Macaca mulatta: one gene and its partners. The protein of the gene in region 2 purifies or fractionates together with the protein of the main gene of each other region. This does not show direct contact. Links are inferred from orthologs where the notes say so. Each region holds a gene or a part of one and is shown on either strand. Other genes may lie near its edges.

Region 1 (3,500 bases), on a different chromosome or scaffold from region 2:
AACGTGTAAAAATCAGATATTTCAAAATAAAACTTAGGGATCTTTATGCTGTAAAAATGAATTACTCCCGAGTTCTTTTTGGATTTAAGATAGGATGTGGTTTACAAACATAAACTTTACACACACCTTGTCAGAAGTGCATCTAACCTTTAAGTACCTACATCAAATCAAAATGAGAAAAAAATTTCAAGCTACTGAGTGGACTTACAATTTTGCAATGTCAGCATGTGTACTTATGCATTTTGTTCAAGTCCAAGGTATCAGCTCAATTTAGTGGCAGCACTAAGTGGAAGCTTCAGATAAATGTTTTCTGAAGATTTACATCTGCAAAAGCTCTCCAGAGTGTACACACCAAACCAGACGTGCTGCAACACTCAGCTTCTTTCCCCACAGTGTGGAGCCCAGCTCACTGCTGAATGTAGACAGCTTTCCTCAGATGAGTCTCCTCTTTATCTAGTTCTCCTACTTGGACAAGAATCTCATCCAGAAAGCTTTTGGTTCCTGCTGGTGCATACCCACCTGATAATGTAACATAAAAGTCTCCATTTGAACTCCCATGAATTTGGCTTTCACTTCAAAGTCTCCAACTTCTTCTGTTGGACTGATTTCAAAGATAACATTTTTAAACCTGTTGAAAGATAACATCGTAAGGGTATGGTTTTTATGTTCTTATATAAAAATATTCTGTGAAATGGGGAAAGGAGATGAACCAAGTCTTCAAGGGTGAAAAGGGGTAGAAAATACAGGTCAAAAGTACTTCTGCACCTGAAGCAGCACGGATTGCCATGCCTAAGTACCATCTGCTCTGGGACTTGGAGAGAGGAATGGCAACCTCTCTCTGCCTGCAGCACTTGCATTCTATAAAAGAAGAACCACTGAGGAGTGCCACAAGTGGCCTGTGAAGGGATGACATCATAGTAATTCTCTTCACTTCCACATGGCCAAAAATGAAACCTAATGATAAAAGGAGAAAACAGGAAACTGGGGTGGAAGGAGATGGTATGTGTGTTTGAATACATGCATGTTTGAGGACTGGGAGAAGTAAATAAACAAAAGGGGGTCAGTAAAAAAAGCTCCAAGGGAGGAGGTTTTTCTAGAAAGAGTAGGTGCTGTGTACATAAGCACACTCAGTATTACCAAAGATAAATTGTTATTATTAAAAATATTTAAGTTATCACTCATTCACAACATGTTACCTGCCAGGAAATTTTAGGAAGCCAAAAGGAAAAGGGGTTATGCAGCCGGGCACGATGCCTCACATCTGTAATCCCAGCACTTTGGGAGACCGAGGCGGGTGGATCACAAGGTCAAGAGATCGAGACCATCCTGGCCAACATGGTAAAATCCCGTCTCTACTAAAAATACAAAAATTAGCTGGGTGTGGTGGCATGCATCTGTAGTCCCAGCTACTCAGGAGGATGAGACAGGAGAATTGATTGAACCCGGGAGCCAGAGGTTGCAGTAAGCTGAGATAGTGCCACTGCAGTCCAGCCTGGTGACAGAGCAAGACTCCGTCTCCAAAAAAAAAAAAAAAAAAAAAAAAAAAGGGGATTAAGGCATTCTCTGGGTGATCAAAGTATAGCACCCCAGATTTCCAGAACTCAACTATGGAGCTACCTTACCTATTACAAACAGGGCTGAGAACCATGAAAGATGCAAAAAGGTCACTGAGAGTTAAAGGAGAAGTCACAAAAACCCATGCACTGAAACATACATGCATTTTATTCAACTGGAATGCCTCACGGGTTATTCCTTAAAGATATTTATCTTAAGTGATAAATAATTTTATCAGATTTAGTTGGCTATTTAGTTTCTAAACCCATAGAAGCAAATTAAAAAGAAGAAAGAAAGGCAAATAGAGGTAGGCACTTGAACAGTAGTGGAAAATAATGACAAAAAGAAGGGCAATATTGACTCATGCCTGTAATCTCAGCACTTTGGGAGGCCAAGGCAGGAGGACTGCTTGAGCCCAGGAGTTCAAGACCAGCCTGGGCAACAAAGTGAAACCCTGTCTCTACAAAATATAATTAGTTGGATATGGTGGCACATGCCTATGGTCCCCGCTACATGGGAGGCTAAGGTGGGAAGATCTCTTAAGCCCAGGAGGTTAGGGCTGCAGTGAGCTGTGATCATGCCAGTGCACTCCTGCCTAGGTGACATAGCAAGACTCTTTCTCTAGAAAAAAATTTAAAAATTATGTACCCATTAAAAAGGATGCTTTCAATGAATATAAAAAATGCTCACAGCATAATGTTATAAGAAAAAAGTTGGATACATGACCATAAACAGTATTGTCCCAGTTTGTGTTAAAAAATATTAAGTAGTTATTTTAGGCTGGGTGCAATGGCTCATCCCTATAATCCTCCCAGCATTTTGGGAAGCTGAGGAGGGCAGATCAGCTTAAGATCAGGAGTTTGAGACCAGCCTGGCCAACATGGTAAAACCCTGTCTCTACTAAAAATACAAAAATTATTTGGATGTGGTGGCAGGCACCTGTAATCCAAGCTACTTGGGAGACTGAGGCAGGAGAATCACTTGAACCTGGGAGGCGGAGGTTACAGTGAGCTGGAGGTTGCAGTGAGCCGAGATTATGCCACTGCACTCCAGCCTAGGCTACACAGAGAGACTGTTCCCCCTCCAAAAAAAAGGCCTGTAATTCCAGCACTTTGGGAGGCCGAAATGGGAGGATCACGAGGTTAGGAGATCAAGACCATCCTGGCTAACATGGTGAAACCCCATCTCTACTGAAAATACAAAAACTTAGCTGGGTGTGGTGATGCATGCCTGTAGTCCCACCTAACTGGGAGGCTGAGGTGGGAGAATTGCTTGAACCCTGGAGGCCAAGGTTGCAGTGAGCTGAGATCGCGCCACCATACTCCAGCTTGGGTGACAGAGAGACTCCGTCAAAAAAAGAAAAAAAGGGGGGGGGGAGAAGAAGAAGAACAAAAAAAAATATATATAAAGTAGTTAGATAAATAAGTGGGTGAGTTGTGGATAATCTTTATGTGAATAGAAAAAAAATACATTAAAATGATTTCCCTGGTTATCTCTGGCTTGTGAAATTACAGGTGTTTTCTTTTTTATGCTTTACTGTATCTTCAAAGTTTAATAATGAATACATATTATTTTAGAATCAGAAAACTGTAAAAGTTCTTTTTTTAAAAGTTTTTTTTTTTTCCCCAGACACAAGAAGGGAAAGATCAGTAGCCTGACGTCACAGGGCTGACTGAGCAGACGCTTAATAAATGCTTGCTAATGAGGCTGGGCCCAGGATCTATGGGAGGATGACATGTCAGGTCCATGAACCACCTGCAAAGCAAGCTGATACTTCCCAGAAAAGAAAATGAAGGTTAAGTGCCTGGTTCCTAGCTGTAAGTGGAATAAAGCAAACTCCTCTTATTGTTACTCTTAATTTATTCTTGGTTCAGAAACAGAAGAAATCCAAGGAGTGGCTTCCTGCTTTAATGATGAAAAATTAAGATCAGACCCAAAGAAGTGAA
Region 2 (2,201 bases):
ATTTATTTGTCTTATGTTAGTAAATAAACAGCGAAGGGGGACAAAAAACAACAACAACAAACACACAAAAAACAGTCCTGCCTACCTATTCTAGATTACTGTAGCTGTAGGCTTTTGTTTTTATACAGTTTGACTACACTGGTAGCAGTTTGACATTGACGTTCCACAAAAGCCTGTTCAAACACAATCCTAGTCATTTAAAAAAATTCTTCTTTAGTAACATGTTCTTTAAAAATACAAAATACAGGAGGAGGGTGAGGGTTGAGAAATAACCTGTTGGGCACAATGTTCACTATTTGGTTATTGGGCACACTGGAAGCCCAGTCCCCATCCGTGAGACCCATGTGACAAATGTGCACGCGTACCCCCGAATCAAAAATAAAATAAAACATTTTAAACATACAAAATACAGATACACACACACACGTAAAGGAGAAAAGGGCCAGTATATCCTAGAGTAGGTATTTTTGGAGGAGAATTCCTTGTTTGGATATGAAGGGTCAAAACTATGTTTGCTTAATAAGGCATACTTTTTTGTAACATATTAAAAACTATTTTCCTTCCTGTCTATGGTACTGATAGCTGTCGACTTGCTGGAGAAGATGCTTGTATTGGACTCAGATAAGAGAATTACAGCAGCCCAAGCCCTTGCACATGCCTACTTTGCTCAGTACCACGATCCTGATGATGAACCAGTGGCCGATCCTTATGATCAGTCCTTTGAAAGCAGGGACCTCCTTATAGATGAGTGGAAAAGTAAGTCCTAAGGGTAGGATTAACATCTTGTACCACTAACCGAAAGCGGTGGGAAAATAAAAACTGAATGGTCATAACCAACTTGCTAAAGCTTGTAGTTGAGGTCTGTAATGCAGAATGAATATGTTCTCTGGTGGAAAGTGTTGTAGACAGTGATACTCTCTGGACCTTTGAGATACTTAACATCTGGTCTGATTTTATGCACAGCCCCTCACATATAGGAGCTTTGCATGGAGATTTGAGGTTTTCAGAGTTATTGCATTTACAACATCTCTCTGAGCTAAGTAAAGAATAGGATATTTTTACAGTTTTACAGTTAGTAGAACTGGGGCAAAGAGAATTTATGTCTTACCAGTTAACTTAGAACTAGTTAGGGACATAGCCAGGAATGGAACCCGTGTATCCTGTGTCCAGTCCCATATTCTTTCCATAAAACACAAGTTCAGAACTCCAGTTAAATCCAAAGAGCCAAGACCATCTGTTGCCGTAGCTTGTGAGAGTGCTCTTTCATTCTTGAGCACCTCCGTAGAGAACTTAAGAGGCATTCAGCAATGAAAAACATGAGGAAAAAAAAAGGTTCTTTTCTATGTCCCTCGAACTTCTGTGTGATAACGTGCTCCATTAGAATATTACATACCAGCTGTGAGGTAGCCCATCATACCACTACCTGGACAGGGAGGAAGGATCTTGAGTGAAGTCAGAGTGCTCGCCAGCAAAGAGAACAGCCTAAACTCTCACGTCTTACTTTTCCTTCCCGATGTCTAGGCCTGACCTATGATGAAGTCGTCAGCTTTGTGCCACCGCCCCTCGACCAAGAAGAGATGGAGTCCTGAGCACCTGGTTTCTGTTCTGTCGATCCCACTTCACTGTGAGGGGAAGGCCTTTTCACGGGAACTCTCCAAATATCATTCAAGTGCCTCTTGTTGCAGAGATTTCCTCCATGGTGGAAGGGGGTGTGTGTGCGCGTGTTAGTGTGTGTGCATGTGTGTGTCTGTCTTTGTGGGAAGGTAAGACAATATGAACAAACTATGATCACAGTGACTTTACATGAGGTTGTGGTGACTTTACATGAGGTTGTGGATGCTTCAGGGCAGCCTCCACCTTGCTCTTCTTTCTGAGAGTTGGCTCAGGCAGGCAAGCTGCTGTCTTTTTAGGAATATGTTCAATGCAAAGTAAAAAAATATGAATTGTCCCCAATCCTGGTCATGCTTTTGCCACTTTGGCTTCTCCTGTGACCCCCACCTTGACGGTGGGGCATAGACTTGACAACATCCCACAGTGGCACAAGAGAAGGCCCACACCTTCTGGTTGCTTCAGACCCAACGCTGTCCCTCAGTGATGCGTACAGCCAAAAAGGACCAACCGGCTTCTGTGCACTAGCCTGTGATTAACTTGCTTCGTATGGTTCTCAGATCTTGACAGGTGTATTTGAAACTGTAAATATG
Region 3 (4,123 bases), on a different chromosome or scaffold from region 2:
ACCCTCCCAGCTCCGGTGCCATGGCTTGAAACTGCAGCACAGCTAGGAGGGCCCTTGAAGATCATATGGTCCCACCTCTCTCCCCAAACCTACAGACCAGGAAATGGAGACCCAGATGGGACAAGGACCTGGGCTCCAGAGGCAAAGTGCTGCCCTCGTCTCTTCCAGGGGTAATGACTCAGGGGAATTCAGCGCTGCCGCAGACACAGCCAAGCGGCCAGCGGAGCTGCTGGCATCCCAGCCCTGCCTGGCCGCACCTTATCCTGCGCTCCCTGGGCGGAGAAGACGGCCCTTGATGCTCACAGCCTCCTGCCGAGTCTCAGGCAATCCCCCACTGAAGGCACGAGGCCAGGCTGGCCTGGAAGCCCCAGGAAGGCCAGGTGCACATCCCCGCGGGCTGCCCTTTGCCTCCCCTCCCCACGCAACCTTCTGCACTCACACTTGCTCAGGCTCTAGGCTTCTGAACTCAGCCAGACCAAGCCACATCCTACTCTGCCACTACACTATTGTGCCACCACCAGGGAGCCACGGCCTCAGTTTCCCTGGCTGTAGCATGGGGACAAACTCCTTAGACTTCCAGAACTGCTGTAAGGATAAAATGAGGTCCTCGATGGGCAATGCGTGTGACCTTTGGTACAGAGGAGAAAGCTAACGGGACCTAGTGACAACAGCCTCTCCCTACTCGCTCCCAGCCCCTCCCCCACCCAAACGTCCTGGCTCCACCTCTTCCAGGCACTGAGGCTCAAATGCTATTACTATTAGCCAGAATCTGACACATGAGAATGAGAGGAGACACTGCAGGGGGACCTGGGGTGGGGGGTGGAATTGGCAGCGCTGTCAGCCGGATTTTATACCCTCTCCACTGTGGGAGCAGGAGGTGGCTCTGGGGGACCAAGCTGTGCCCGGTCCTCAATGGGCCCCTTCGCTGGGGTGCCAGTGCAGATTCTGCGCTGTAACTGTCCCCCTAGCCCAGGTCCAGCTTAGTTCAGGGCCCCCAACCCCACTCCCGCGCCCCAAGCTCGGGAGCCCCCACTCAGTAGCGCCACTGGGGACCGGGGAGCGCAGGGCGCGTCGGACAGGACTGGCCTAGAGGGCAGAGGCTTGCAGGTGGGAGGAAGGCGGGCGGGGGCGTGGGAGGTGGAGGGAGACGCCGGGCAGGCTGCGGCCCCTCCCCGCTCCCTCCCTGCGCGCCGCCAGCTACAGTGCCCCTCCTGGGCAGGGGGCGGAGAAGACGGCTACGGGAGGAGAGGAGGCGGCGGCAGAGGCGGAGGAGGCAGCGGCGGCGGAGGCGGGATTTGGAGTTTCCCTCCGCAGCGGCGGCGGCTGCCCCTCCGCTCCAGGCGAGGCCGCCACCCAGGGTTCCGGTGGCGTTAGGCGGCAGCAGTGGCGCTTCCCGCCGCCCGAGCTTCGGAAACTTCCCGGCCGCGACGCAGGGAACCGGCGCGGAGAACCGAGCAGAGCGGAGGTGAGTGGAGCACGCGGCGCCCAGGGGACCCCCACCCCACCCCCACCCCACCCGGCCTGACTGCCCCCGCCCCGACGTGCGCTCCTCCATCCTGCAGCCCCAAAGTCCTGACAACGCACACCCCACGAAGCCGGCGCACGCGCCCCCACGAGACCCATTCGGTGCTGCCGCCGCACACCCCCGCACCCCGCCTGTGCACCTCCCGTGTCCCCTGTCACTTACACCGGCTGCACACTCGCTCGCGTACAAACCTCGCACCACAGACCCGGGTTCCTGTAGTGCACACACTAGCAGCCCCTGCCCCACCACTCACCACTGTCCCCAACTCATGCCAACCCACCGAGACCCTGCCACGCCCCAATACACACCCAGGCGCACACGCACGCTTCCAACACATCTCTGCGATACCTGCACTAACATAGCTCCCCCTACCATGCCCCCACCACCTCGAACTCCCCATCTGCCCATTACAGACACCCCACCCACGTTCCCAGCCCACAGACACTGCAGTCCACCCACCCCGGAGCAAGGTCCCATCAGAAACCCATATCCCAGTGGCTGACACTCCCCACGTCCCAAGCACACACCTCCAGCATCTCCAAGGCGCACTCTCATCCACCCCAGCAAGCGCGCACACCTGCTGGATTCACGCTCTCCAGCACCCTGCCCCGCCCCCATCACAAATAGCCTTCGACACCCCCCAGCACATCTCTGAGTCCCTCCCTTCCTCCCCCCCCCAACACCTGGCACGCGGGCTCTAGAGGCTGCAGCATTTGGTGGCATCCCTGCCAGGCACCTCTGGCTCTCCTTCGGCAGCGGCTCAGCAGCCTTGGGCCCCCCAGGTGCCTCCCTAGACAGACCTTGAGACTCCCCAGCGACTGGTTTGGCCTCTTCCCTAAGAGATAAAGAAGGCACTTTGGGGTCCAAGGTAGGGTACTTAGATGTGGAAGCAAGGGGCCCCGGGGAGGGGCGGGGAGGAGGCGGAGAGAGCCCGGCGCTGAAATGGAGGCGGCCCAGGTGGGACCAAAAGGACGCCAGCTGCCCGGCAAGCACGTAGTAGGTGGGTTCCATGGGGGCTGGCGTCCGCGCGCGCTGTCTGGGTGCCTGCCTGCGTGTGTGTTACGGGGAGGGCTGTGTGTGCACGTGTGCTTGTGCGTGTCGGGGTGGGGGAGGAGTGTGTGATCCGCAGAAGGAAAAGCAGGAGCAGCTCCCTCAGGCAACAATTGGTTTCATTCATTCATGCCTTCTTTGTTAACGAGCATTTCTTCCGCGAGCGCCGGGCGCGTGCCAGGCCCTGCACTGGGGGCTGGGGCCAGCTTGGGGCCGGGCACACACCCGTTCCTGCCTTGGAGGAACTCCCAGTCCCGCGAGGAGACCGACCAGGAAAAGCAGAAAGCCATCCCCAGCAGAAAGTGGATTTGATGGAAAAGACACTGGATTTGGCAGGCACGCTGTCGCTGGGACTTGTGCTCTTGGCCATGTGACCCGGCCGCGACAGCCGAAATCCTGTCACTCGGCCCGGCGGGAACGATGCATTTCGTGGGGGAAGGCGGCGCGGCGCCGCTCTCGGGAGGCTCCCGGGACCAGAGGGCGCACGCGGCGCGCGCGAGGCCTGCAGGCGGCGGCGTCCCCTCGGCCTCCAGGGGGCGCTGGCCCGGCCCGGCGGAGGCCCAGGGCGCCCGGCGGGGGCGGGGGCGGGGGCGGGGGCGGGGGCGGCAGGCGCAGCGCCCACCCTGCGGCGAGCAGCGAGCGCGCGGCCTGGCTCCGCCAGCCGGAGGGGGCCAGGCGAGGCCCGGGCGCGCGGCGCGGCCTCCCCCAGCACAGCGCACCCGCGAGCGGCTGTGGGCGGGTCGGAGCCCAGAGCCGGCGCTGCAGGGGGCTTGAGTTGGGACGGCCCGCCTAGGGTCGCCGGTGAGAGGGGCGTTAGGGGGTTGGCTGCGCTCAGCCCTGCAGTGCGGAGGTGGCAACAGGTTCCCATTTGTCCTGTTGCTGGCGCTGCGGGCGCTGTGGGCCCCAAGCACTGAGCTCTGACTTTGGAAATTGAGCCCCTAGTGGCCTCCTCCCAAATGCTTTCTCCCGGCGGGAGGGCTTGCCAGCAGGACTCCGCAGTTGGGTGCAGGGGAGTCCCTCGCCAGGCGTCAGGAGACGTGGACCCTTGGATCCTAGGCTTCCCCTTCCTTCACCATTGCGGAGGTTGCCTGTCCCCGTCCTCATCCCAGCCCAGCTCTCACCTCCAGGGATCCCTCTCCAGAGAGCACGTCTGAGCACCTCAGGAGCTCCTTCTCCAGCCAAACTGAGCCCCCACAGCAGGGCGGGCGGGGGAAGTGGCTGTCCAGCTCCCTGCTGGTCATAGCCCTGTGCCACCCCCACTATCCACAACCAGACTGGCACATGGCAGAACCTCCGTGGTGCCTTCAACCCCTGCCCACTCTTAGCTCCCACCCACAGCTGCAGTGGGCCTGGAGGCAGCCCCCAGGCTGGGTGCCGGTGACCACCTCCGCCACTGTGGAGCTAGGCTGTGAGACAGGAGAAGGTAGAAGACAGAAGACAAAGTCCCTGCCCCAGGAACACACTGAGAAAGGGGGAAAGTGACCACACTAGGGAGCACAGAGGAGGGAGACTACTGGCTCTGAGTTGGGAAGGCTGCCTGGAGGAGAG
Region 4 (3,500 bases), on a different chromosome or scaffold from region 2:
AAAAAAATACATACATACTTCCAACAAAACAATATTCCAGTAAATGTTCTCAAAGAGAAACCACAGAATCCAAGGAAATGCCACTTGAATTTCATTTTAACCTTATAAATGATTATTTTTATAATGTATGTAATCCTAGAACGTACTGAACGCTTACTGTGTGACAAACGCTGCTCTAAGCACTCTATAGGTATTTTACACACTCTTATAACTGCCCTATGAGGTAGGTATTACTACTAATCCCATTCATAGATAAGGCTCAGAATCACATAATATAGGCTCAGAATCACGTAATATAATAACTGGAAGAGCCAGGTTATAAGTCTACTTTTCTAAATCCTGTGGAATTACCTTCAACTCTCCCTTGGATGCAGGGACATTGCTGATGATATTCACGGGGTCCTGGCCTCCCAGCTGTGACCAGGCTAAAACGGCCATGGTCCTTTCCCAAACTGATGGAAGAGCCTTGTTTCCCCAAAGCCATATTGCTCAAAGGCTTCAATGAGGGAGAAGAAAGAAGATCTGACAAGACCAGAGAAAGGAGAATCTCTTTAAAGGCAATTTCACACGACACCAATAACAAAGTTTACAGATGAACTAGTTGAAATGTAAATATGGTCACTGGTTTGTTCATGACCATTTACACAAGTTGGTAGTAAAGTTGAGGCCATGTCTTGGCTTTCAGGTCACCCCCTACAGAACAACTTTCAGAGGAGACGCAATTCTGCAATAATCATAAACTGAGCCATCAGCCAGGCTGTCTGAGGTCCAGCTCTAGCGTTAATTAGTACAGTAATCCTATGTCACTTTGACTTCAGTGGACCTCAAAAGTAAATGTGGCTCTAGAAAGTTCTGAGACAGAGAACAGAAACAAAGGAGAGAAAGAAACCATCGTTCAGCCTCAAAACAAAAGAGCCAAACATAACAACAACACTACACTGTAAAACATATTATAAAACAAAAGAAGCTTTTTCAACTGATATCTAGAACAAATTCAAACAAACAAATATTTTAAAATATCTAACAGATTTAGCTGCAATCAGAACATTCATTTAGTGCTCAGTTTGGCTTGAAATGTCCCAAACTGGCTCCTAGTCACTTCCAGAAAACACCACCTCGGCCAGAGTACATTTTCACTGATCTTTATCTATGACAATGTTCCACTCTGCTGACATCCTCCTTCATTGACAGTTTTTTCCATTCACTGACCTTTCATTCACTGCTGCACTCTAGTGACTCCAGTTTCGTTTCATTAATTAACAACAGATGAGACACTGCCTGATTCCCTTGAACCTCTGAAAACTATCTGTGGCCTCACCAGCAACTCAGTTTTGAAACGTGTTTAAAATGTCCCTCTTCCTTTCATAAGTTCTCTTACAAATAAGATCTACTTCAGAAGGAAAGTTCAATCATGCAAACTTTCTGCTCCAAATGGCTGACGGAGACAGAGAATGAAGTGTCCTCTTATCTGCCCTCGTCATAACTTTGTTGTCCCAGGGACTCCAAGCTAGATTCCATTACAAGACATAACATCGACCATTATCCGCTATTTACTGTGAAAAGCAGTACCGAAAAACTGATAAGCTTCTTGAAAAAATTTGCGCATATTTTTTAAAGTTGTCTGAAGACTTGACTCACTGTCCAATCTTGCCAAGTTTCTCCTGTTCCTAATTTTATGCTGTTTATCATCTGGGAATGCAGAAAACGGAGTCATAGTAACCTATATGTGTTTCCCTAACATGGACCTGAACCTAAGAATGACTGTGCCCCCTATTCTGGAAGTATCTGTGCTAAGAGGAAGGAAGACAAATACGCAGACACTTCCAGCCTGCTGAGAAACAGGGATGGGCAGTCTCTGCAGGCAGAGAAGCGTCTTGGCCTCCACAGCTGTGGGTGCACAGGCAGCCAGACCGCAATGCTAAAAACCCATGTTTCTGTTTGTTAGTCTTCCATAAATCCAACCAAAAGAATGCATGTTTACAAATAAAAACATAGATACTACTTCCGACACAGAAAACATGTGGTACATACAGCTTCTAAGGCATTCCTGATTTAGATAACACCTTATCCTAATTCAGCCATGAAAACATTTTCCCTTAGGAGCACCTCCTTCACAATTCCAATCATAAATACGATTTTCTGTAAAAGCAAACGTGAACCACCATTCCATTTTGGGAGGGAAAAATCTGCTAAGCAAAATAAAATACATATAACAACTCTACTAAACAATTCTAATTAGTCACTCTTTTTTCTTCCCTCTCACCCATGCAATCAGTTATAAATCACAGTATTTTCTTAAAATGGAAGTATATTTACATAATAAAAGTAGTACTCTACTGTGGCTTAGTGATATTCTTAAAATGTTTTTAAGGCCAAAGTTCTAAAAATAGATCCCTATCCTTTTAGCAATTCCATGACTTTAAAGATGGTTTCCTGCAGTGAGAGACAGGACCTTTCCACTCATGCCTTCATTTAAATAGGGAGCAAGTCACTAGAGATTTATCAATTGACAGAGCCGCCTTCAAGGAAGGCAGAATCAAAGAGAACTGCCCTCCCACCCTATATTGTGAATGGATTCCATGGTTATACAAAGAAATAATATTGATACAAAGCTCTACTTTATGGAAGACATTTTTCTAAAAAGTCATATGCAAATTTAACTTTTATATTTTAAATAATCTGCATATAGTTCATATGGTTGCACAGTTTTGAACTATGCAGTTAAATTCTTGTTTTTTGTTTGTTTTTGGAGACGGAGTTTTGCTCTTGTTGCACAGGCTGGAGTGCAATGGCACAATCTCCGCTCACCCACAACCTCCAACTCCTGGGTTCAAGCAATTCTCCTGCCTCAGCCTCCCAAATAGCTGGGATCACAGGCATGCGCCATCACGCCCAGCTAATTTGTCCGGCTAATTTTGTATTTTTAGTAGACACAGGGTTTCTCCATGTTGGTCAGGCTGGTCTCCAACTCTCAACCTGAGGTGATCTGCCCGCCTTGGCCTCCCAAAGTGCTCGGATTACAAGCATGAGCCACCATGCCTGGCCATTACATTCTTTTGTAGTTCTCACATAGTTTAATTATTTTGTAAAACAAAACTCCCTTTTTGTAACATAAACACAATCCTTTCAGTTGCTTATTTTAGAATATATGTGAAAAACTAGAGTACACCTTCACCTGTAGAGGACAGTTCTCTCTTCTCTCCATACTGGAAAGAAAATCTGTTGCTTTATGATCACACAAAGGAGACAACTCTAACATTAAAAATGGAAAATAATGAAAATGTTTATTTTGCAGTAAAGTACTTTAATTGCTCTTAAGAGTAATTCTGTTATGCCTCAGTCTGACATGTCTGATTTAGGCAACTTCGTTCTCTAGACACTCACAGACTAAAGTATGGTCACAATTCTTTCAGGATCAGCAGACAGTAAACATGGAGAGTTGAAACTAGTTGAAGAAAAGAAAAAAAAAAAAAGCAACATAATTTCATACCCCTAAAAAA
Region 5 (2,375 bases), on a different chromosome or scaffold from region 2:
CCCGCCGGGGTCCCATGGGCCACCTCCTGCATGTCTCCGCGGAGGGGCTACCTTCCTTCCCATCGCCCTGCCTCCCAGCCAGACTCATCTAAGGGTTCTTGTCCTTGTCTATGGGGCAAACTGTAGCACCCCTCACCGTGGTCCCCTGGCCTCTGCAAAGCCACCAGCCTGAGGGCAGTGGCAGGAGATGGGGGTGGGGGGTGCTGCTCTGGGCTGGGTTGGGAAGGGAGTTGGGGAGGGGCTGAAATGCACGGTGCATGTCTGGTGTCTGTCATGCCAACCTGGACACCTCATGCTTCTGTCTCCCCCACCCCACTCTGTTTTACATCTTTTATAAATGTGCCAAACTGCGTGGCCTCTGCCAGGAATGGTGGTCTTTGGTGGCTGGCACTTTCATGGGCCAGGTACAAGCACTACAGCCCTCGGTCCCCAGTGTCGCTCACTGCACAGAGGCTCCAGGCAAGGTCTGCCCTCCCACATCACTCAGAGAGGCAAGGAAATGAGCTGTAGCACTTTTATTGTCTCCTGACACCTCTGGTTTCCCTGTCTCTCTACCCCTGCCCAGGGTAAGGGCGCACGCCTTCCAAGTTGTCCAAGGGCACCCGCCTGGCCTGGTTCGGTCCTCCTAGTTACCTGCAGAGGAATGACTCCACATGTGGCTGGGGAGAGAGTGGGTACCACCTTTCTCTCCCCTGGCAGAGCCTGGACACCAGTACAGGAAGAGCTGGGGCCCCAGGCTATGCCCTACCCTTTCTCCGTCTTGGTCAGGGCTGTCTTGGCAGCAGGAAGGTGGGGGTCAGCTAGGGATGGGGCACAGGGCAGCACCTGAAGGGAATGCTGGGATTCGGGATAGAAGGTGGGATGTCTCCTACGTGGAAAAGGAAAGAAAGAGGCTTCTGCCGAGGCTGACATGGAACTTGCTGAGATGGGTAGAGGCAAGCTGGGCAGAGGGCAGGAGAGAGGAGGGACAGGCTGGAGGCAGGCAGTGTTGGGGAAGTGGGGAGGAAAGGAACTGGTAGAAACAGGGCTGTTCAAGAGAGACAAACATGGTCCAGTGGCAGGAGAGAGGAGAAGCCTGGCAGGAAGGGGCGTAGAAAGGTGGGAACAGCTGACCAGGAGCAGCTGATCTAAGCCAAGCGGTTCCAGGGCTTTCCAGCCCTAGGTGTGCTCTACCCTTCCCCTCCCCCATCCCCACCTCCGACGTATCCCAGGACCCGTTGCCACCCCAAGTCTTGGAAAGCCAAGTGTGGCTTAACCCATCAGCTCCCAGGCGCCCTCGCTCTCCTGCCTCTGCCCAGTTGACTTTACTCACCCTCTACCAGCAGCCGTGTGTGGGCGCTGTCCTGGCCGGCCTGGCAGCAGTAGGTGCCCTGGTCCTCAGGTCGAACGTCATGGATGACCAGGCTGTGGGTGGGGCCGTGGCTGCGCATCTCATACTTATCTCCCGGGCACAGCTCGGCCCCCTCCCGCAACCAGCACACGTGGCTCCCCGAGCGGGACACAGTCACCTCCAGCACCGCCCGGCGGCCCATCAGAACGGTCTTCTCGCGAGGGGGGTGGCGGCACATCTGGAGAGGCAATGCTGGGGATAGGGGGCAGGAGCTTAAGTTAATAGGGACACGCATGGCCCCCAGGAGAAGAGATGCATCTTCCCTCCCTGCAGCCTCCACTCCTGGCCTTAGCCCTCTATGCCACCAGTCCGTTCCCTTGCACCTCAGACCCAAAGTCTCCTCTTCCCGGGGAAACGCGCTGCCCTCTGTGACCCGACCCAGGACAGCCTCTCGGGGGGAGGGGAAGAGAGAGAGGCAGCGTTCTTGGGGCCAGCCCCAAGTCCGTCAGTCCCATGGCAGGAGACAGAGGATGTACTCTCTGTGGCTCCCGCCCCAGGTGCTTACCCTCCACTTCCAGTAGAGCCAAGGACTGGGCGGGCCCCGCCTGGAAGCGTACTTCACCGGCGTCTTCGGCCCGCAGCTCGCTAAGCACCAGAATGTGTTTCTTCCCTGGGGGTGAGGGGGTCGCTAGCGAGGCCGGAGCCGCCTCTGAGGAGCGCTAGGGACGAAGGTGGGGGCGCAGCAGGCCCCTGGGTCGGTTCGGACACCGTTAGTGTACGCTAGGGTGGGCGGAACCGGGATACCGAGCGGGAAGACTAGCGGTCCGAGACTCGGGGCTGGGGGCGGGGGAAAGACTGGGGACGAGGCTCACAGGGCCGCGGGGCGGGGCCCGTCCGAGTCAGGGGCGGGGCTTGTCCCGGTGGGGCGGGATCTGTCCGAGTCTGGGCGGGGCAGCGAGGGGCCCGAGAGGGTAACCAGGAGGCCAGACCTTCCTGTCTGATGCGGACGCGGGCTCCGGGTCTCAGCGGGCGGCCTCCGAGCTCC
Region 6 (4,131 bases), on a different chromosome or scaffold from region 2:
CCACGTCCGGCCAACCACAGCCCCTCTTTTAGGCCTTTTCTTATTGCAATGAGTTTTCAATGTGTCCAATGGCCGAATTGCCCAGATGTTTGGAAGCTTGATGCAAACAGAATTCAGAGCCACACAGGCACCGCTAGCAAATCCACATCTCTGATGCTGAGGGCCCCAGAATCTGTGTTTTGAACGCATTTTTCAGATGCTTTTACTGTACCTTACAACCAAGATCGGGAGAGGTATGCAAACCAAGGGCCCTGTCCCCTCCAAAGCAGCAGAGTCCAGGGGCATGAGGATGGCAAGCGAAGTGACAACATAAACACAGGTGTCTCCATCTTCAAGGATGGGAGTAGAACGGACAGGAAGGGCCGGGTCACCCCCAGAGCATTCGTCAGTTGCCAAGTCCAAAGCTAAGAAACCAGTTCATAAATGTTTTTTTATTTGCATGTTGGCTCAAGTCCTCTTTTTAAGTCCAAGGAGGCAGTCCACGTTAAGTGTGCAGGCAAAAAAGGGACAGGAAAAGCAGGCAATTTCTCCCCTGCCCTCCCGCTCTCCTTTTATCAAGCTGAGCACCTTGAGTTGCATTTGAGGAAATTAAAACTATAGGTGACAGAACCCCCTTGTATCGAATTCTTTCTTTACATTTTTTGGGTTGCTACAAGGAATCACTATATATATGTATATATGTATATATATATATATATTTTATCAGGTGGTACGTGTGGTGGCTCACACCTGTCATCCCAGCACTTTGGGAGGCCGAGGCAGGAGGATCACTTGAGGCCAGAAGTTTGAGGCTGCAGTGATCATGCCACTGCACTCCAGCCTGGGCAACAGAGTGAGACCCTGTCTCTAAAAAATTTTTTAAAAATCAACGCATGAGACAAAACTTTAACAAGAGAATAAAGAGGGTTGTAAGGTGGAGATGTGGGCAGCACTCCAACTCCACTTTCAAGTTCAGAGGCAGAAAGAGCAACTTTCTCTCCCACGCTTGTAGGGAGGGCCCGTGGGCTGTCTCTAGCCCTCACCTCACAGCTGGTCTTCTCGCTCTCCCTGTTCAGCTTCTGCTCTGGCCTCGGCCCTCAGCACCCTGAGGCTCCTGGCCTCGCCTGCCCTGGGGACTCTCTTGGGCAGGGTTGGCAACCGGGGAGTGTGCCAGAAGGCTCTCCGGGGCTTGCGAAACCACGAAAAGCGTCCAGGGGTCTGGAACCTCACTGTCTTGACCTGTTTCCGGGCCCTGGCTCCTGAAGCTGTTCCTGTGGCCCCTTGGGTAGCTGAGGCTTCAGCTTCCTGGATACCTGGGGCCCCTGCCGTCTGATTATGTGCAGCCTCTGCCCTTTGGCCAGCCCGGGCCTGTGCCCTCTGATTACCTGCACCCTGGACAGCTGGGGCCCTTTCCCTCTGGTCATGTATGGCCTCTTCCCTTCGAGGATCTGTAGCCTCTGACCCCTGGTCAGCTAGAGCCTCTTCCCTCAGGTTATCTGCACCCTGTGGCCTATGGTCAGCTGGGGCCTCTGCCCTCTGATTATCTGCAGCCTCTTCCCCATGGTTATCTGCAGCCTCTGCCCCCTGGTCAGCTGGGGCCCCTGCCCTCTGATTACCTGCAGCCTCTTCCCTCTGGTCAGCTATGGCCTCTTCCCTCTGATTATCTGCAGCCTCTTCCCTATGGTTATCTGCATCCTCTGCCCCCTGGTCAGCTGGGGCCCCTGCCCTCTGATTACCTGCAGCCTCTTCCTCCTGGTCAGCTATGGCCTCTTCCCTCTGATTATCTGCAGCCTCTTCCCCCTGATCAGCCTCGATGTCTGCCCCCCGACCTGTGGGCGCTGTCTGCTCCTTCCTGCGGCGCCTAAACGAGGCCCAGTTGATCTTGGGCCTCCATCGCCTAGGGGAGGCCTGCGGGGCACAGACATCTCCCACATTTTCCACAGGATCCCCGGGATCCCCCGGGCTGGTGCCGGAGGATACCCCTGCGCTCTCCACTGGGATGGAGGCCAGCCGGGCCTCGCCCACCCCGGGGCCCGCCCTCGGCGCCCAACCCTTCACCCTCCGCTTCAGCTTCCCCCAGGACACCTGGCTGACATACTCCCGCCACCTGTCCGCCTTGGACAGCTGAGGCCCCAGGTTGTCCTCAAACATGGGCACTGGCAGGTTGACGCGGCGGCGGGCAGGCGGCGCGGGGGGCTGCTTCTCCTGTCGCCGGAGAAATGCCTCCACCAGTTCCTCATCATCCTCGCTCTCCACGTCGCTTCCCAGGAACTTGCTGCCCAGGTAGCTGACGGGCATTTTGCGCACCTTCTTGCCCCGCCGCGGGCCCTGGCGGCTCTTGTCTCTGGAGGTCTCGAAGTCGCTGAACTCGCTGTCGCTGGCGTTGCTGCTGTCATACGTGCCCACGACCAGCCGGGGCGTAGGAGTCACCATCTGCTGCACTCTCCTCCTCACTCGGGGCTCCTTGGGCTTTTTGGGGGGCTGGGGCGGGTGCGGGGTGCTCTTCTCGATGATGCGGGCCACGTCCTCCAGGGTGCGGCCCTGTTCTTCCAGGAACTGGGTCAGCCGCTCCCGAAATTCTGCTTCCTTGGTGGCAGGCTTAGAGATGACTCTCCAGACGCCCCCGGCCAGCCTGACCTCCCGGGGGATGAGCAAATAGTCGACGTCCTCCCCGATCTGCAGCATCCCCACCGTGGAGTCCTCCTCCTTGCGGAACACCTTGCCGATCTTCTTAAATGTTCCCACGGGTTTTAGGGCTTCCACGAGGACGTCCAAATCCACATCTTTGCAGACATCGGGGACGCTCCAAAGAATGAGGCAGTCGGGGGACGGGAGGAAGCCCCAGGGGAACCAGCCCCCCACGTGGCTTTTCTCGAGAGTCTTTAAGATCTCCAGGGTGATATCTGGGGTGAGGGAGCAAAGAGCCCCAACAAACTACTGTAGCCCTTAGTCTTGAGGGAGGGACTGGATGGGGGGAGTCCCAGCAACGCTGACCGCAGAGTCTCACCTCCCCAGCCAGGGACGAGTCAACGCCTCCAATCTCTTCTCCTGCAACAAGTCCAGTCTTGACCAAGTCCGGCTCCTCCACCAAGGACTTGGGAGAATCAATTTCCAGGATGCCTACGTGAGCCGGAGGCGAGGTCAGTCCCAAGGTTCAAGGCCCACTCCAAGCTGGAAACGTGGTGTCCCAGCTCCAAGTTGGGGCGCGCGGGCTGCCAGCGATTCTTCCTGCCCCAGGCCCCTGGGACGCGGTTGGAACTTGGGAGAGGACTTCGCAGACAAAGACGGTCCAGTCGAGGCTATTCAATATGGCGGAGGCGCTGAGAGGCCTCAGCCCGGCCCCCCAGTAGGGTCCCCCGCCCCCAGGCAGGCCACCACCCAGCTCCAGGCTGACCTTGACGCGCCGCAGCCTGCCAGCCCGCGCGCTTAGGGCTCTGCACGGTGGAGCGCACCAGCAGGAAGTTCCTCCTTGCCCTCCGCCAGAATGAGGCCCACCTTCCCCCGTCTCATCTTACACTCCCAGACTCTGGAAGACTGACAGGGGGGCTGTCCACTCCCTTCGGGGCAGCCTCCTTCCCCTCCCCCACAGGGGTGTGGCCGCGCCTGGGGCCTAGCTGGGCCCATTGCTTCCCAGCGAAGCGGCGGTGGCCCACGTCAGCACCTTTGCTGAAAGGCAGCGGTTCCCAAACCTGCCATCCGAAATGTACAAGTTTCCAGCCAAGTCCTGGAGGTGGGTGTGCCAGTGGATTCTACCTTTTGAGAGCCACTGGCACCATAGATTAGCATTTTAAATTCACGCGACTATCCGTACCCGTACACCCAGACGCGTGGGTAGAGAAATGGGTACCGGGATCTTATTGCAACAGTCCCCCTGTGACGCTTGGCAGGAGGTCAGGGCTCTACATATTTTTGAGTGGATGAATAAACCTGAATGTTCATAGCCAGGCGCGGTGGCTCATGCCTGTAATCCCAGCACTTTGGGAGGCCTAGGCGGGTGGAACACTTGGAGGCCAGGAGTTCGAGACCAGCCTGGCCAACATGGTGAAACCCTCGTCTCTACAAAAAATACAAAAATTAGCCGGGTGTGGTGGTGTGCGTGTGTAGTCCCAGCTACACGGGAGGCTGAGGCAGGAGAATGGCATGAACCCGGGA

Evidence for each region.
Region 1: the proteins of MAPK14 (region 2) and IQGAP1 purify together in Homo sapiens (affinity purification with mass spectrometry; 3 studies listed by BioGRID and IntAct, counting the BioPlex papers as one, with this or other methods). This does not show direct contact. The link is inferred for Macaca mulatta from reciprocal best matches to the Homo sapiens genes MAPK14 and IQGAP1.
Region 3: the proteins of MAPK14 (region 2) and DUSP9 purify together in Homo sapiens (affinity purification with mass spectrometry; 8 studies listed by BioGRID and IntAct, counting the BioPlex papers as one, with this or other methods). This does not show direct contact. The link is inferred for Macaca mulatta from reciprocal best matches to the Homo sapiens genes MAPK14 and DUSP9.
Region 4: the proteins of MAPK14 (region 2) and DUSP16 purify together in Homo sapiens (affinity purification with mass spectrometry; 7 studies listed by BioGRID and IntAct, counting the BioPlex papers as one, with this or other methods). This does not show direct contact. The link is inferred for Macaca mulatta from reciprocal best matches to the Homo sapiens genes MAPK14 and DUSP16.
Region 5: the proteins of MAPK14 (region 2) and OBSL1 purify together in Homo sapiens (affinity purification with mass spectrometry; 6 studies listed by BioGRID and IntAct, counting the BioPlex papers as one, with this or other methods). This does not show direct contact. The link is inferred for Macaca mulatta from reciprocal best matches to the Homo sapiens genes MAPK14 and OBSL1.
Region 6: the proteins of MAPK14 (region 2) and CCDC8 purify together in Homo sapiens (affinity purification with mass spectrometry; 3 studies listed by BioGRID and IntAct, counting the BioPlex papers as one, with this or other methods). This does not show direct contact. The link is inferred for Macaca mulatta from reciprocal best matches to the Homo sapiens genes MAPK14 and CCDC8.

The regions. Positions count from the first base shown.
Region 1 is NC_133412.1:80,384,156-80,387,655, reverse strand, and holds part of IQGAP1 (ras GTPase-activating-like protein IQGAP1), read right to left. Parts: intron 629-3,500; coding exon 520-628; intron 1-519. UniProt on the Homo sapiens protein: Plays a crucial role in regulating the dynamics and assembly of the actin cytoskeleton.
Region 2 is NC_133409.1:146,147,259-146,149,459, reverse strand, and holds part of MAPK14 (mitogen-activated protein kinase 14), read left to right. Parts: intron 1-112; exon of another isoform or gene 113-582; coding exon 583-756; exon of another isoform or gene 757-1,521; coding exon 1,522-1,589; 3' UTR 1,590-2,201. UniProt on the Homo sapiens protein: Serine/threonine kinase which acts as an essential component of the MAP kinase signal transduction pathway.
Region 3 is NC_133426.1:159,878,825-159,882,947, forward strand, and holds the start of DUSP9 (dual specificity protein phosphatase 9), read left to right. Parts: upstream 1-1,323; 5' UTR 1,324-1,465; exon of another isoform or gene 1,466-2,467; coding exon of another isoform or gene 2,468-2,525; intron 2,526-3,561; exon of another isoform or gene 3,562-3,998; intron 3,999-4,123. UniProt on the Homo sapiens protein: Inactivates MAP kinases. Has a specificity for the ERK family.
Region 4 is NC_133416.1:14,928,438-14,931,937, forward strand, and holds part of DUSP16 (dual specificity protein phosphatase 16), read right to left. Parts: intron 523-3,500; coding exon 352-522; intron 1-351. UniProt on the Homo sapiens protein: Dual specificity protein phosphatase involved in the inactivation of MAP kinases. Dephosphorylates MAPK10 bound to ARRB2.
Region 5 is NC_133417.1:124,792,014-124,794,388, forward strand, and holds the end of OBSL1 (obscurin-like protein 1), read right to left. Parts: coding exon 2,320-2,375; intron 2,001-2,319; coding exon 1,896-2,000; intron 1,583-1,895; coding exon 1,313-1,582; intron 634-1,312; coding exon 626-633; 3' UTR 501-625; downstream 1-500. UniProt on the Homo sapiens protein: Core component of the 3M complex, a complex required to regulate microtubule dynamics and genome integrity. It is unclear how the 3M complex regulates microtubules, it could act by controlling the level of a microtubule stabilizer.
Region 6 is NC_133424.1:58,899,860-58,903,990, forward strand, and holds the start of CCDC8 (coiled-coil domain-containing protein 8), read right to left. Parts: upstream 2,801-4,131; 5' UTR 2,665-2,800; coding exon 1,024-2,664; 3' UTR 840-1,023; exon of another isoform or gene 413-839; intron 1-412. UniProt on the Homo sapiens protein: Core component of the 3M complex, a complex required to regulate microtubule dynamics and genome integrity. It is unclear how the 3M complex regulates microtubules, it could act by controlling the level of a microtubule stabilizer.